2 linked regions of the Alligator mississippiensis genome follow. Each later gene encodes a partner of the first gene's protein in a complex. Links are inferred from orthologs where the notes say so. Each region holds a gene or a part of one and is shown on either strand. Other genes may lie near its edges. The genes, in order: RABGEF1 and RAB21.

Region 1 (7,519 bases):
AGAACTATTTTATCTTTCATTCAAAATCCATACTTTTGCTCCAACTACTGTTTTAAAATAATCCCAGATCAGTATGCAATCCTTTCAATAATGTGGAAATGCAACGGCAACATATGATTTAGCAATACTTGACACAGGACGTTATATCCCCTCATAATATTTTTAGTCTACTTCTAATGTACTGGCTGGCTATCAGGCCTCACAATTCCTAGTAAACCTAATTCACTATTTATTCCAGTTCTAAAGAAAGATTTTGAAGTTACACTTAAAGCACTACCCACTTTCCAGTACAGATGCTGCAAATTTGAACTACAATTTAAATTTGTCCACGTCAAGGTCTCAGATACCATATGTAGTGCTGAATACTAATTTCCATCATGAGGATCAAAAATAAAGTTAATGGATTAACTGACTATTTCAAGGCATCTTTACCTTCAAGTCTCATGCCTTGTAATACAATAAGTTCTTTTAACCTGCACCAAATGAATCACACTACCGCAGTGCTCAGAGAAATTCAAGCAATTCACCATTACAGTTTATAACTTATCTACAAACTTCAGGACTGCTAAATGCAACCTCAATTATTACACTCCTGATGTTAAGTATAAAGCTAAAAATAAAAATATCAGTTCCTCAGTTGAATACAAAGTAAAGTAGTTTAAAGGAGTTTCATTCAAAACTCAAATCCTGAAGCATTATGCTTACGTGCACCTGCCATGATACTCATGGCACTTAACAAGCATGATTTTATATGACAGACTGATGACTTACTTAGGTCATAAGAAATACAATAATGACAAGGAGAACAGGCATAATAAAGGACTTTATGGTAAATGATAGAAAGACTGTTACATAATTCCTAACACTGAATATGGATTTTGAAAAGTCTTCTGTGAGTCCAGTAATTTGTGATTACATTTTAAAGCACCCATCCATAGTTTTCAGTGTTCTCCTAGCCCCCAGAACAGATATATATCCATTTTAATTAAGATACTTCCTTCTTGGAAAGAGAAGGAGTACTTTACAAACTTAGAAACCAAGAACATTCCAAAATATTGCATATTCACCTATGTGTACATTGTTAGCTTTTTTCTTTTAATTCCACAAATGTTTCCAGCTATATTTAATGTTAATGATTCAGACTAAAAAAACATTTCAAAGAATCTTAGTGACCAGGACTTCGCATAAACCTAAATTAAGTTAGTAAAATGGATCACTAAGGATCTCTAAGATCAGGCTGGATACCATTCTTGGTCAACAACAATGCTTAAGTATTTATGAGAGAATAAGTGCCCCATAATATGGCAGTATAAATGCTCTGAAATCATGCCATTTCATCTATGCTTGAAAGCATTCAAATGTATTAAATACTACAAAATGATAACAATTTCTAACTTCTAACAACTGTCATCAGCTCCCCTTGGAAAGATTTAAAACTTAATCTAGACTCCTTTCGGTATATCAACATTTGCCATACTTCCTCTGGGTCAAAAGCGTCTTGCAATCTGGGTGAACCCTCTGCAAAATTCAAACATCTTGCTTAGGGAAAAAAAAAAAAAAATCAGCTTGAAAGGTTTTACGCAGCCAACTTGCCTTTAAGGAAGTTGTATTTATCCCTTGGAAATGCTGACCTTGAATGAGCAACTTCTCAAAAGCCTGTCAGAATAATCCATGCGTTAAAAACCACTTGGAAACTGAGGATGGAGACTTCACTTTTCTATCTCAAAAATAGTTCAGTTTTGGCCCAGATCAGCAGAGGTTCCCAGTCCAGGACTCGCATCTGCTGGCACTACAAAAGCCACCACTGCAACTGGCAACCTTGTTAGGAAAACCAGCTGAAGCTGCAAGCGCACAGGGTTGCACCAAACCGGTTTTGAAGGGCTGGGCTGTGCAACCTGGGAGGATCTGATCTGAAGCAGGCAGGCAGCAACTGCAGGTACCAACTTGCACTACAGCTGCCCAAAAGCAAAGTACACTTGCTCTGTGCTTAAACAGAGGACTTCAGTTTTCAGACTTGCGGTTATATTACTTCACAGCACTAAGTGCGTGGCTTTTTGGGGTCGCACATCCCGATTGTAGCCGTACTGGTCTAGAGGAAAAAGCTATCGGGGCTCATGCATAGAGGCAATATCTTTTATTAGACCACAAGCTTTTTGCAAATCCTGTGAAATCTTACTAAGTACGAACTTTCATTTCTAACCCAAGGAAACTTTCACAATCTTTTTCTCCGACGCCTGACGCGCGATCCATTTTTAATAACTTAATTTAGCCTTAGGCGAAGTCCTGGTCGTGAAGATGTCATGAAATACTTGGGTTTTTTTCAGTCTAAAACATGAACATGAAATACAGCTGGGAATATTTGTGGCATTAAAAGAAAAAAATAAGAGCGAACAAAATCCACGGACACTGACGAGGCTTTTTGTAACCGCTCTCGGTCACTGCGTTTGTCCAGGACTTCTCTTTCCAAGAAGGAAGTATCTTAATCAAAACGGATCCATGTCTGGGCCAGGGGGGGGTTGTTTTGTTTTGTCTGGGGGGGGGGGAGGGGAGGCAAATACTGAAAACTATGGATGGGTGTAAAAAAAAAACCTTAACATTATATGTGCACACGTACACACACACACACGTGTGCACACGTACACACACACACATGCATGTGTGCGCGTGTGTATATGTGTGTGCATTTGTGCCCCAAAAGCTTGCAATTTAAGAATTTCGCTGTGCAAAAATCTTGTTGGTCTCATACAAGAGATCACCTCCACCCATGAGCCCTGATTGGTTTGTTTTGGGGAGGTTTTTTTGGGGGGGGAGGATTTGGAAGGAGGGGTTAAGGCTAAATTTTGGGCAGAAAACAACCTATTTCCTGCGATTTGAGAAAGGTCAGTCCCCCAAGACACCAGCCGGCTCAGGCTGGGCTCCTAAGCAGCAGCAGCCGCAGCGGTCTGGTCTGCCAGGCCGGCCCGACGGCGACCGTGAAGGACTGACCCGGCTCTGCCCCTCAGCAGGGAGGCGGACACCTCACCCCGGTGCGGGAGAAAGGCGGGGGATGGGGATACCGATACCGATGCCCCGGGCCCGGCCCCACTCACCTGCGCGACCGTCGCGGCGCAGACAGGTCCCCTCAGCCCGGCCCCGCGCTCCCCTCCCCCCGCTGCGCCTGCGCACACGGCAGCGCCTGCGTCACTTCCGATCACGCCCCTCCGCGGTGACAGCTGGCGGCGGGGAGGGGAGCGGAGGGGCGGGGCTGTGACGTCACCGCATTCCAGAGCCAGCCGCGCCCTGGCACCCCGCCGCGCACGTGGGCTGGGAGCAGCGCTCTGCTCCCCCGCGGAGCTGGCAGGGGGCGAGAGGGTCCACACCAGCTATGAACCGACTGCACAGAGGAATTTTCCATCGATTAACTCCTCTATATGAGATACCCACTTTCATGTCTACCCAGGAGAACTTTTGCAATCTTTTCTCCAATGCCTGATGAAGGGTGTTTGTGCCCAAAAGCTTGCAATTAAAGATTTTTTTTTGGCAAAAATCTTGTTCTAAGACAGCATCTCTGCTATGAGTCCTGATTGCCCTTTCACAATATTTCAGGGGTTTGCAGTTGTGACCCAGAGCTGTGAATGTGATGTTGCTTGAGTTTTTGCGGAGCGATGTCTGCCACAACGGTCAATAATTTTTAGATTAGATTAATTTTTAGATTAGATTAGATTATTTTTTTAATTCTTCGCATGCTCCTGAAAGTGCACTTTGAGTTTTGGCAGAGTTTTTGGTGCCAAGTTATACTGTTCAGATGATCAAAACCAATACTGACCATTTTAATAATTTATTTCACAGCACTGAGACTTTAATACATAAAATGTTACCTTTCACATGTTTCAAATAAAAATACATACATTACCCAGTTTACCTGGAATTTAAAAGCAATGTGTAGTAAGACACAGGATGCTACAGGATCCATCGTGTTAAATTAACATTGATCGTCAATTTGTTTAATCGTAAAACAATACAAAATAATACAAATTTGGACAAATTTGGAATCATTCCAATACCCAATCACTAGGGCCAAGGATTGTGTGTTCCCCTCTCCCCACAAGACATGAAGGGTAACAATGGATGGAGACCTATACAATTTATAACTTGGCAAAATAAAAACCACTTATAAAGTCACAGTGAAACTAGTCATAAACTCATACTAAATCTGTGCAAGTAAAATGACTGGGGACCATTGTTCTGGAAATTTGCATCCAGTTGGAGACCTATATACATAAATAAACTGCGATTCATAGTTCTCATCTCAGACGTAGCTTATTCAGAGAAAGAGAAACAAACTTGCACATTTGTTTGAATTTTAAATAGTTTACATACTGAAAAACACAAGACTCCCTCAGATCCGCTCTGAAGTAGAGGGAAACAACCAAAAGCACATTTCAAAATGGTTTAAAGCCACAAATAACTATACAAGTCAGCATAATTGCAAGGTTCAGTACTGCCAACAATGTCTTAAGACAGAAGTGTCCAAAGATTGTTCTCAAGAGTTACTAAAACAAAGAAGGGAAAGAAAGGTCTGTCACAGAGACTGTGCTCTGAATCCCTGCCCTGATCCCTCCCTGATCAGCTTCACGATCCCACACATGCATTTTGCCACGTGCAAAGGGCAGGGATGCAAAGCATGGGATGTAGCCTGGAGTTCTTCCAACACATCCTTAACTCTGCCATTAACTATGGCTGAATCACAGGCTGGGAGGAGGAGCTATTATTTACCTCCTCAGATATTGCCCTACGTCAGTGGATATAATTCAATAGCCCGCTCCAATTTTACCACCTGGCGAACCTATGTGGCCTTGCAACAGAAAGAACGGTCAGTAGCAAGCAAGGGAAGACAAGCTGAAGTAGCCAAGCCTTTTGCCACTGAGACCAGACCAACTGACAGACTTCACAAGAAAGTATGGTGGAAATTAACATTTCTTTGCCTCTCACAAAACCAGAGCATAAGAAATTAAAGTCTCTGTCGGCGGCAAACCATCGGCTTTAGCATGAGAATTTCACCAATGGCACTTTCGCTATTGCTGGATGGGGCCAAGAATTCCTGATTGACCACCATGCTTAGTGTGATCTGAAGATGTGACTAGAGAGGCATACCAATATGATGTTGTCCTCAGACTCCTTGACTCATCAACGATATCCTCAGAAACTAAAAGCACAGACAGGCACCATGGGCTGAGTACACGGCATTACTTAAAACAACAACTATAAATGGATTTTTTTTCCTTAAATAATGCTCTACAGGAAAACAATACAAGTGAAAGGAGGAGGAAATGAGTAAAAGAAATAAGAAGAAAGCATTGTTTGCCTCAGGGACATCTTAGCAACTAATGAGAATGTCAGTGTCTATAGGAAGTGACAGCTATCGGCCTGTAACTTCCAGGGATATTTTATGTGCAGACTGGATACTCCTCCTTTTTCCCCAACATGTGAAATTCCTGCATGCAGTCTTACAGGGTGATACACATCCTGCCCAGACAGCATCCAAGTAACCTCTGGAGTTTAAAGATCAAAGAGCAAGTTGGAGGGGTGGGAAGAGTTGTCAGGATCATTACCTCATCTTGTATTCTCAGGCTAGTCACTTGATCTCCTTATGCCTTATATAACTTAGCAGCTAAGTTATAGCTGGAAAACAAGAAAAAAAAAAAGCAGGAAATTCTCATGTCATAAGGGCATAAATTATGAAGTTAACACATCCTAATGGTTTTATAATTATAATAAAAAGAGCACACTAAAAGCACTGAACGGCTTCCATGGAAGCATACAGCTTGGGGGAGAAAGGGTGCTCAACAGAAACAACAATCAGGGAGATTAGCTCAGGAAGCCTAAAAATGGATTAAAACTGTAAACAGTACCACCACGTTTGTGCTCTGACTTGCATAGGACACCAAGTCAGGATGTTTTGGCCCCCAAAAGTTATTAGTGTTTAATACAGCAAGTCTTTAGAAATCATTTTAAATGTTGCTGACCCTTCTGAAGTTAGCGAAGTGTGCGTTGAAACTGCCAAAAGGGCCAGTCAGACCGAGTAATAGCACACAACGAACAGGAAGCACTGCCTCCTCCCTTCAAATACCTGCCTTGGCCAACTTCCCATGCTGCCTGCTTTATTTCACTGTTCCATCAATTCCCAATTTCAGTAAAGATTCTTGATGAGCATTTCAATTAGATTACAAAGTACACGGTTAGCTCCTCTTTGGGGACTTGCTGAGAAGCCAGAAAGGGGTTGCACATTTTATTTGTTAGAACACCTTCAGCATATTCTATTCATTTAAGATGAATTAGCTAGAGTGTCAACTGTAAAACATCAGGGACCTTAATGCTGAAGCTTATGATAGATTTACATTCTTCAAGAGTTCTCCACATTCAAGATCCGCAGACAACTTATTGCACAATAAAAACTGGAATTGCCACCGTTTTGTTATACAGTTGTTCCCTGTTTGTCTCTCAAGCTTTACCTCTTCAGTCTCAAACGTTTTTTCTTGAGCAAGATCTATTGCACAGATACAGCAGCTATATTTCTCCAGGTAGTTTTATGGTTGTTTTATAACCTCCCTTTTGGTTTCTCCCCCAATACAGGAGAGAACTGCCATAAAAGCATTTCCCCTGTCAAACAGCTGCAATCATTTTCATGTGTCAGTGTTAACCTAATTAGAGCCAATAATTCAGACCTTTTTTATGCCATTCACCCAACTCTTCTGAGACTGAGAAAAAGAAACATATATGGACTACAGCAAGCACCACATTACACTGGCAAATCAAACAAGTACTATGGGACAGGATGTTCAGTTTCTGCCAATGTATCTTCTTTAACACTGTTCTTTAAACTTGGATCAATATTATTACTTAAGAAAGTCAGTGGTTAAGATTTCAGCTCATGTTGTTGCACACAAGCTTTTTAAGTAAAACAAGAATCATCTGGTGATTTGAGCAGTAGGTTGGGGAACCAGGATCTGTTCAATGCTCACCCTGTGATCTGAGAATGACCAGTTGTGGCCATGGACAAGTCCTTGAACCTACTCGATTCAATTGCCCTATCTTTAAGATCAAAAGGCTGTTGCAAGAATTAAGATTCACAGTTTAGGGCTGGAAGTGACCTTGTGAGATCATCAGGTCCAGCCCCCTTGCTCTGGTCTGGGTAGGAAAGACTGCTGGGGTCAAATAACAGTCAGTGGTTATAAGCTTCTCTGATAGCAATCACTAATAAGAGCTAAATATTTTAAATATTTTTCATAGATATTTCCCATGGACAAGGGGAGTAACACACCTCTAGGGACAAAGAGAAATAGGTCCATGGGCTTCTTTATGCTATATTTATACACATATTTGTTCACACAGGCTCTGGCCGGTATAAACTGAATGTTACACACATTTTACCTACTGTAGTTTTGAACGCTAAATGGATACTTCTCTTCATCCCAGTAATGCTCTGATAGCCCTGGTAGAATAAGAATTCATGTACAACAACTATGTTAGATCAAACATA
Region 2 (7,287 bases), on another chromosome or scaffold:
CGCCCTGCATTATGGTGTTCGCAAATGTGTCCAGCCTTCTCATCATGTGACCAAACCGCTGCAGCTTCCTTTGTCTCTCAACCTTCAACAATGGTTCATAGGTTCCAATTTTTTGACTGATTTGCTGCTTGACAGACTCATTTGTCCAGTGTTCAATATACAAGACCACCTACATATACAGAAAGAACCAAAAATACTGTTCTTTAGCTCAAGAGGCTTTGTCAGTACCTGGGACCTTGCTTGGTTTGTTTTTATTTGTAGGAGAAACATGCAATATGAGTCAGGCATATTTTGGTTTATATACAACAGATTCCGGTTTCTCTCATCGCAGTAGAAAGAAACAGGAGAAAGCAATTCTAAGTTTGCCCTTCCAGCCAGTCCCATTACCCAAGGAGCTTGGCTTTTCCTCCCTCAATATGCACAACTAATTCTTGGGCTTTCTGCCAACTTTCCACAACTTGCTCTTTGCCTTTCTTCTGTTTACATTCAGCCTCTGAAATGCAGTTGTAACAATAAGTGCTGTCATTGCTGTGTTTTCAATCCATTCTCCATGGAACCTGTCATCCTGAGCAGTTGAGCTGCTAATGTGACCTACTTGCCTTGGTTGGTGATTTCCATCATCTCTAGCTATGTTACTCCAGAAAGTTTAATTGCTTCTCCCATGCAGCCTAAATGCAGTCTGACAGTTAGTTTGCCTGTGAGCTATAAGGAAGTCTGATTTTGCCTATAGATCAAAAATATTTGCTTGATTGTAAATAGTGCTTTCCAACATAATGGTGTGTTTTAAATAACTTGTTGAAATAAAACCAGGAACTTATTAAAGAGATACCTTAAAAGATTTTCTCTGCATTGATTTCTTACCTTTCCTATTTATTTTATATTAGGAAAATTTAAAAAGTGTTTAAAAAGAAACCAGTTTCATGCATGAAAGCAAGTCTCAGTTTCCCAGGAGATTCCAGGCTCAAGGAAATTTGGTCTTTGTCCCCCTTTCCAGCACTTTCTGTTTTTTCCTGGTTCCTAGGGGCTACCGTCACACATTTTCTGACAGAGAAGAAAAGAAATTGCAGCATGATGTCTTGTCATGGACATTATTTTCCTTGCCACCAAATAGTCACTGGAGAAGTTATACTGCTGTACCTGAGTCTGGATAATATAAATTATTTCTTAACTGTGGGGTGCTGTTCAGTTTTACAAAATACTGACCTAATTATTGAGACAAGGTACCTTATCAGGGGAAGAGCCCTTGTGGTAAGGAAATCTGAAGAAACCGTACTACCTTCTGCTGCCTCTTCACTCTGGCTATTAACATTACCTTCCTCTCTCATAGCCCCAATTTAAAGCCCACAGATGTGACTGAATCCTGCAAAGCCTTCAGCACGTGCAGAATTTTATCCACCCAAGTAGCTCCATTGCCCTTAATTTAATATTTGCTGGCTTGGGCAGAAGGCAGGACAGAGTTGCACCTTATAGACTAACTAAATCAGAGATGCATAAGCTTTCACAAGCTGGAACTCACTTCATCAGATGCTGTGAAAGGACATGCACAGAACAGTTTATCACATGGAGTGAGAGTCCAGGTTTAGGGTCATATTTATTGTTTTATATGTCCTGCTTAGACACTTTTGCTCTCTCCCCTGCCATGAGGTCTAGAGGTAACCTTTGCTGCGCATTGGGCGCATCTACACATTTCCCTATGGTGACATAGTGACGTGCTATGTCACTGTATTGCACGCTACAGCGACGTAGCAATTGTGCAGGTCTATACATGATCGCCAGCTATGTCACCGTAGCAGCACGCTGCCCCGGTAGAGTGCATTGCTACAGCAACATAGCAGTGAAATCTGACCGTGCACCGTGCTCATGGTGCAGTAACTGCCTGTACTGCACTCTGCATTAGTACAGGTTTCCCTTGATTTATGTGGTAGATGTGTTCCCAGAGACCAGCACATAAATCAAATTTGCATAAAGTGAACCCAGTTTACAATGAAACTGATAGGGAAGCATTCCCAGGGCCATGAGGGAGGGAGGGAATGAGGCTGGGGCCAGGGAAGGGGTGGGGAGAGGGTCGCGGCACAGCCCAGTGGCTGCAAGTAGGTGGTGTCTGCCATTCCTGGGACTGCAGCAGGGGTAGCACTGGGCTCTTCATTGTGCTAGGGGTGGGCGGCAGCCCCCCTCACCCCATTTCTTCTGCTCACCACAGCCCCTGCTGCAGCAGCCCTGGGAGTGGCTGATGCCAGCTGCCTGCAGTCACTGGGCTGCACCATGCCCTGAGCCACCCACCGCAGTGCAGCCCAGCAGCTACAAGCAGGTGGCATCTGCCCACTCCCAGGGCTGCAGCAGGGGCAGGCAGCTGCCCACTGCTGCTGGACAACAGCAGGCTGGGGCTGGTGTCCGCTTCAGGCTGGGGCTGGCAGCTGCACGAGGCTCTTCCCGGTGCTCAGCAGCGGTGAGTCCTGCAGCAGGACGAGAGCAGGCTAGGGACGGCAGCTACTGCAGGCTCAGGCCGGCGCTTGACAGCAGCACTGGGAAGACAGGTTGTGGGGGGCTACAGTGAATTTTGGGGTGGCAGCAGCCCCCCTCCCATCACCGTGGCCCACCCTGCGTGCCAGGAAGAGCCTGGTGCCACCACCGCCCCCAGCTTGCTCTCATGCCGCTGCTGGCAACTTCCCGACCCTGCTGCAGCCTCTGGGAGCGGCAGAAACTACCTGCTTGCAGCTGCTGGGCTGCCTGCTTGCAGTGCTGCACTGGTGAGGTGCTACCACTGGAACCCCCCTCCCCCACTTCCTTTTCCCACTCCTCTCCCTTCCTCCCCTTTTCCCCGCTGCCTCCCCCTCCCTGCTGGCTGTTGTTGGGGAGAGGCAGCGCGGCAGCTCTCTTGCTCCCTCTGTCCATAACGCTCCAGGCCCTCGCAGCCCATCGGCGCATGCCCTCTTGGCAGCGCATGCGCAGTTGGCCCGGAGCGTTACAGACAGACGGGCTAAGGAGTTTGTTATATTAGAATGCCAGGACTGGGCAAGCTCCTACTTGTGCTGGAAACCGGTATGAAGAATTTCCAGAATTATCATTATTTTTTTCACACATCCCTGTCCCCAAATGTAACCTACACCCTAATTTTGCAGGGCCCCAAGAGAAAGCATCTTACCCTGGAGTATGGGTAAGGGCTCCGCTACACGTTCACATTAAACCTGGATCGAGACCAGCTATAGAGTTACACATTTTCAAGCACTACCTTTGTAGCTGGTTGGCTTTTTCATAGGTGGAGTCATTTGTATGGTGTGATAATTACTTTGCACATGCAGCTGGCCTAAATTTATTGTGGGATTAACCAGTTTATTGCATAATATATGTAACGGTGTAGCTGGAGCTAGTGGCTGAGTGCCAGGAGCTTAGGCTTGGAGGCCACATGCTCGGGCTGGGGGATGCGTGACAGGGCCCATCGCAGCGCAGCCGTGCTGGAGCCAAGCGGCCCAAGAGGGCCCTATCCAACAGGTCGGATAATGTGGCCTGATCCAATGCATGGGCACCAGTGCTGCATGGCTCAATCCGGCAGGCAGGCTACAGCTGCATGCCAGGTGCGACCCTATGCTCTGGCTCGGGTGCCATGTACTGGGTTGAACCTGTGTGCGAGGTTGGGGAAAAGTGTGGAGGGGGGGCTCCACAGGAGTCCAGAAATTTGTGACTGGGAGAGAAGGGAGGGAGCAGCGGTAGCATCAGTGGCTGTGGCTGGCAGAACTGCATCAATTACTACTGTACCTCTCCTCCACGCTCAAATTTCCACACTTGTGGGGAGCCCTTTCTCTCGCATATACTGCATGCCGCCCGCAACTTTTGGGGCTGGCGGTAAAGTGCGCGTATATGCGAGAAAATACGGTACTGAGATTACACCTTTCTAAACGAGGCTGCTGTGGCCGCCCCAGGCTGGGCGGGGCCTACAGCCTTCGCGCAGGCGCAGAGGCACGAGGTAGGGGCAGTGACCCGCCCCCTCTGTTTCTCGTCAGCAGCTTCCCCGCGGCCCGGGCCCCGCCCCCCAGAACGTAGCGGCGGCCCCTCCCATTGGCTGTGGCGGGCCGCGTGACGCAGCGCCGCGTGACGTAGGAGGAAGAAGACGCCATTAGAGGCAGCGGGGGGTTGTAGTGGCGGGAGGGTAGTGTTTCGTGTTCTTGGCGGTGTCTGAGCCCCGCTCCACTTCTCGCCTCTCCCGGCCGAGCTTCCCGGGTCCCCGCCAGGGCAGGCGGCGGCGCCGCTGATGTGAGGCCGCGGCCCGGCGGCGGGCAGAGCTGGTGCGCGGATGGCGGCGGCGGCGCCCGGCGGCCGCAGCTTCTCGTTCAAGGTGGTGCTGCTCGGGGAGGGCTGCGTGGGCAAGACCTCGCTCGTGCTGCGCTACTGCGAGAACAAGTTCAACGACAAGCACATCACCACCCTGCAGGTGCGGCCCGGCGGGGAAGAGGCCCGGGGCAGGGGGCTTCCCGGGCGGGGCCAGCCTCGTGCCCCTGAAGGCAGCGGGAGGTTCGCACGTGTTTCCGTCTGTCCGCACGTGCGCTGTGCTTGGCCTCCCTCCCCCCCCCTTCGGGCGGGACAGGCAGTGCTCCGTGCTCGAGCCACAGGGTGGTGAGGGGGGGGCCTGGGCTGGCTGCGTTGTGGGAGGGGAGGTGGCCCAGTCCCGATCCACCTGTGCAAGGTTTGGCAGCAGGGGAAGGATTGCAGTGTAATTTGCCACTGTTCCCTTGCTGCCCAGTTTCCCAGCCCACAGGGAGCCCAGCAGGCATGATGCCCTGGTACAGGTTGAGCATCCCTGGTCTACAGTACATGCTTTTGTGGGCTGAGGCTTATTTCAGGAAATTTGGGGGGGAGGTTGTATTGCATTTCCCTCTGTTACCTGTCCCACAGTGAGCTTTTGATCTTGCTTACACTTGCATTCTTTGTATTGTATCTAATCTGCTCAAGTCTGTAAAGTGCAAGTCTACCCTGCCTTCTTAAAGAAAAAGTCTTGGCTTCTACCTTGCAGGAAGGCAAACCTTTGTGCAAGCGGCTGAGTTCTGCCCTCAGCTGCTACTGGCATATTTTGTGTCTATTGAGTTAGGAGCATGAGTCTGCTGAACTTGGGTCTAAAAGAGCACATTTGCAGCAGAAGGGTGTAGTGAAGCTTAGTTCTTTCTGCCTGTGGGCAGGGCCCTTTCGGTTTCATGATGAACTCACAAAAAAGTGGTGCACGCTCTTGTGTTCTGGATAACTTTTAGAGGTCTGAGCTACCTCCTCTGTTTGCAGTTTCATAACATCACATGGGAAATTCTAGCACTGCTTATATGATATAACATAAGATGTGAGGGCAGCTTTACTAATGCAAAATATGAGTTGTGAACAGGAATGGGAACCATGTGGTCATCTAGCTCTTGAGGGACTGCAAGAGGTCTGAGTGACCATTGTAGGACTGCTACTGTAGCTTACTTTTATTCTGGTATGGTGTAATGACAACACAGCTATAAGTCAGTCTTGTATTTATTCTCAAGAAGAAAAATCTTCCTGGGTTGGCTACGTACAACTAGATTTTTTTTTTTTTTAAGTCTTCCACTCTTAACTATGTGGGACATATTAAGAACTTTTATGGTTTTATATTGTATGATTGTACAGTACTTCATTAAGGTTTGAGATAAAGTAGATAAAGGAAGTTTCACTTGGGGAAAAAAAAAATTGAGAAACCTCAGTGAATAAAGGCATGCCTTCATAGAGTAGGCCTAGGTTTTTAGTTCAACTTCCCTTATCATTCATGCAGAACTCTTATAATAAAAAAAACAAAAACAAAAAAAACTTAGGCTTAGAGCACCTCTATGCTGTTGGTCAGGTGGGTTGGGTTAGAGCCAAGCCTCCTAGCAAACTTTGGCTGCAACGTATTTTTTCTGAAGTGAAAGGTTGGGCAAAATGGATCAAGTGCTGAAGAGCCTCTAGTTTTTCTTCCACTGTTGACCCTGAATGGTAGAGAAGGCCTGAAACTGCATTAGGAAAGAAGTCTGGTGTCATAGCATGAATTATACCCCAGACAAAAGGCAAGGTTAGGGGGAGGGGCGAGAAGCAATGAGTACATGGAGTGTGGACTAGGTTCAGCTAACCTGGCTTTTTTAACCCAGTGCCCATCACCCAGAATAACTGTACAGCAGAGACCTGTTCAGTCTGGCTTTGTTGCTGAACTACTTCAGTCTCTAGCATTTTGTTAGCTTATGCCCCTTGAAGATTTGGAGTTTGTAGCTCATTCCTTGTTTAAAAAATGTTTCTTCTAAACTTTTGACGGTTATTTAAGACTCTTCATTGACAGCTGTCTATTCTTGTCTTCATTAGACAAGTAACTTGTAGCTTCTAGGGAGAGGTGTCTGCAATGGATGGAGATGAAACTAAACTGTGTCTTGTGAGGCTTAAACACCCCCCCCCCTCCCCCAACCTTCCAAAACAGTCTGCTTCCTGTGAATAACAGAGCCCTGTTGCCCAATATAAAGCCAAACAAGAATGTGAAACTGAAAGCCAAAAATTGCTTGTCATCTGACTTTTTTCACCTGGTATAATCCTTTAACTGGAAGTCTTAAATTGAGGTATTACTTGGAGTTGAAAAGTGAATTTTACAGTACAGAATGACTGGATATGGTATGGAGACTGAGTGCAGTGAAGCCAGCTACAACTCCCCTAAATTGTATTTATAAAGTAAAAGCAGAAAAATAAATGAACCCCCCAAGATACCTTGTTTTGCTTCCTACAAAACATCATTCAGAAATGTTATTCACACGAAGGGCCATGTGTTCTTTCTGTCTGAAGAGACTGGCAATAAATCCTCAGTGTACAGATGTGAAAGATGCTGCTTTAGAACTGTAAACGGTACACTTTTGGATAGCAAAAATTGTGGGAGTAGGCCACAAGAAGTATGCCCCAATCTTCAGTAAATTCTGATACTTGGAAGAAAGAAGAACCAAAAAGAAACTTTTGTGTTTAGCTGTATAAGGTGCTTGCTTTTAAGTCTTTAAGGTGCTATTGAACCTAGTCTATAAACCGTTCACATTTTAAAACTTTTTACAGGAAAGAGAATACATGACAGATGCAGTTAAAGCTGTTTTTACTACCATATAGTCACACAGTGGCATGTGTCTTAAATAGTAATTTGGTGGTGTGCTTGCTTTAAAATGGGCAATGAACACTCACTTTCTTCCAAACCTTATGATCAAGCAGTGAAATGGGTAGGATTGGATAATGCTTGAATGGATTCTTAGCAATAAAAGACAGATTTAAGACAAGAATTTAGTTTTGTAT

The links.
Region 2: the proteins of RABGEF1 (region 1) and RAB21 are in contact, whole or in part, in a crystal structure (PDB 2OT3), measured with the Homo sapiens proteins. The link is inferred for Alligator mississippiensis from reciprocal best matches to the Homo sapiens genes RABGEF1 and RAB21. Residues at the interface, in NP_001273991.1 of Homo sapiens: Leu253, Cys254, Lys296, Phe299, Asn300, Lys303, Pro309, Ala310, Ser311, Ala312, Asp313, Phe315, Leu316, Pro317, Ile320, Leu347, Met348, Thr349, Gly350, Glu351, Gly353, Tyr354, Tyr355, Thr357, Asn358, Cys360, Cys361, Ala364, Phe365, Ser373; in NP_055814.1 of Homo sapiens: Ser19, Phe20, Lys21, Gly26, Glu27, Gly28, Lys32, Thr33, Leu37, Thr50, Thr51, Leu52, Gln53, Ala54, Ser55, Phe56, Ala71, Trp73, Asp74, Thr75, Ala76, Gly77, Gln78, Arg80, Phe81, Leu84, Ile87, Tyr88, Asp91.

The regions. Positions count from the first base shown.
Region 1 is NC_081837.1:9,922,934-9,930,452, forward strand, and holds the start of RABGEF1 (rab5 GDP/GTP exchange factor), read right to left. Parts: upstream 3,180-7,519; 5' UTR 3,090-3,179; intron 1-3,089. UniProt on the Homo sapiens protein: Rab effector protein acting as linker between gamma-adaptin, RAB4A or RAB5A. Involved in endocytic membrane fusion and membrane trafficking of recycling endosomes. Stimulates nucleotide exchange on RAB5A. Can act as a ubiquitin ligase.
Region 2 is NC_081827.1:71,723,215-71,730,501, forward strand, and holds the start of RAB21 (ras-related protein Rab-21), read left to right. Parts: upstream 1-4,107; 5' UTR 4,108-4,288; coding exon 4,289-4,426; intron 4,427-7,287. UniProt on the Homo sapiens protein: The small GTPases Rab are key regulators of intracellular membrane trafficking, from the formation of transport vesicles to their fusion with membranes.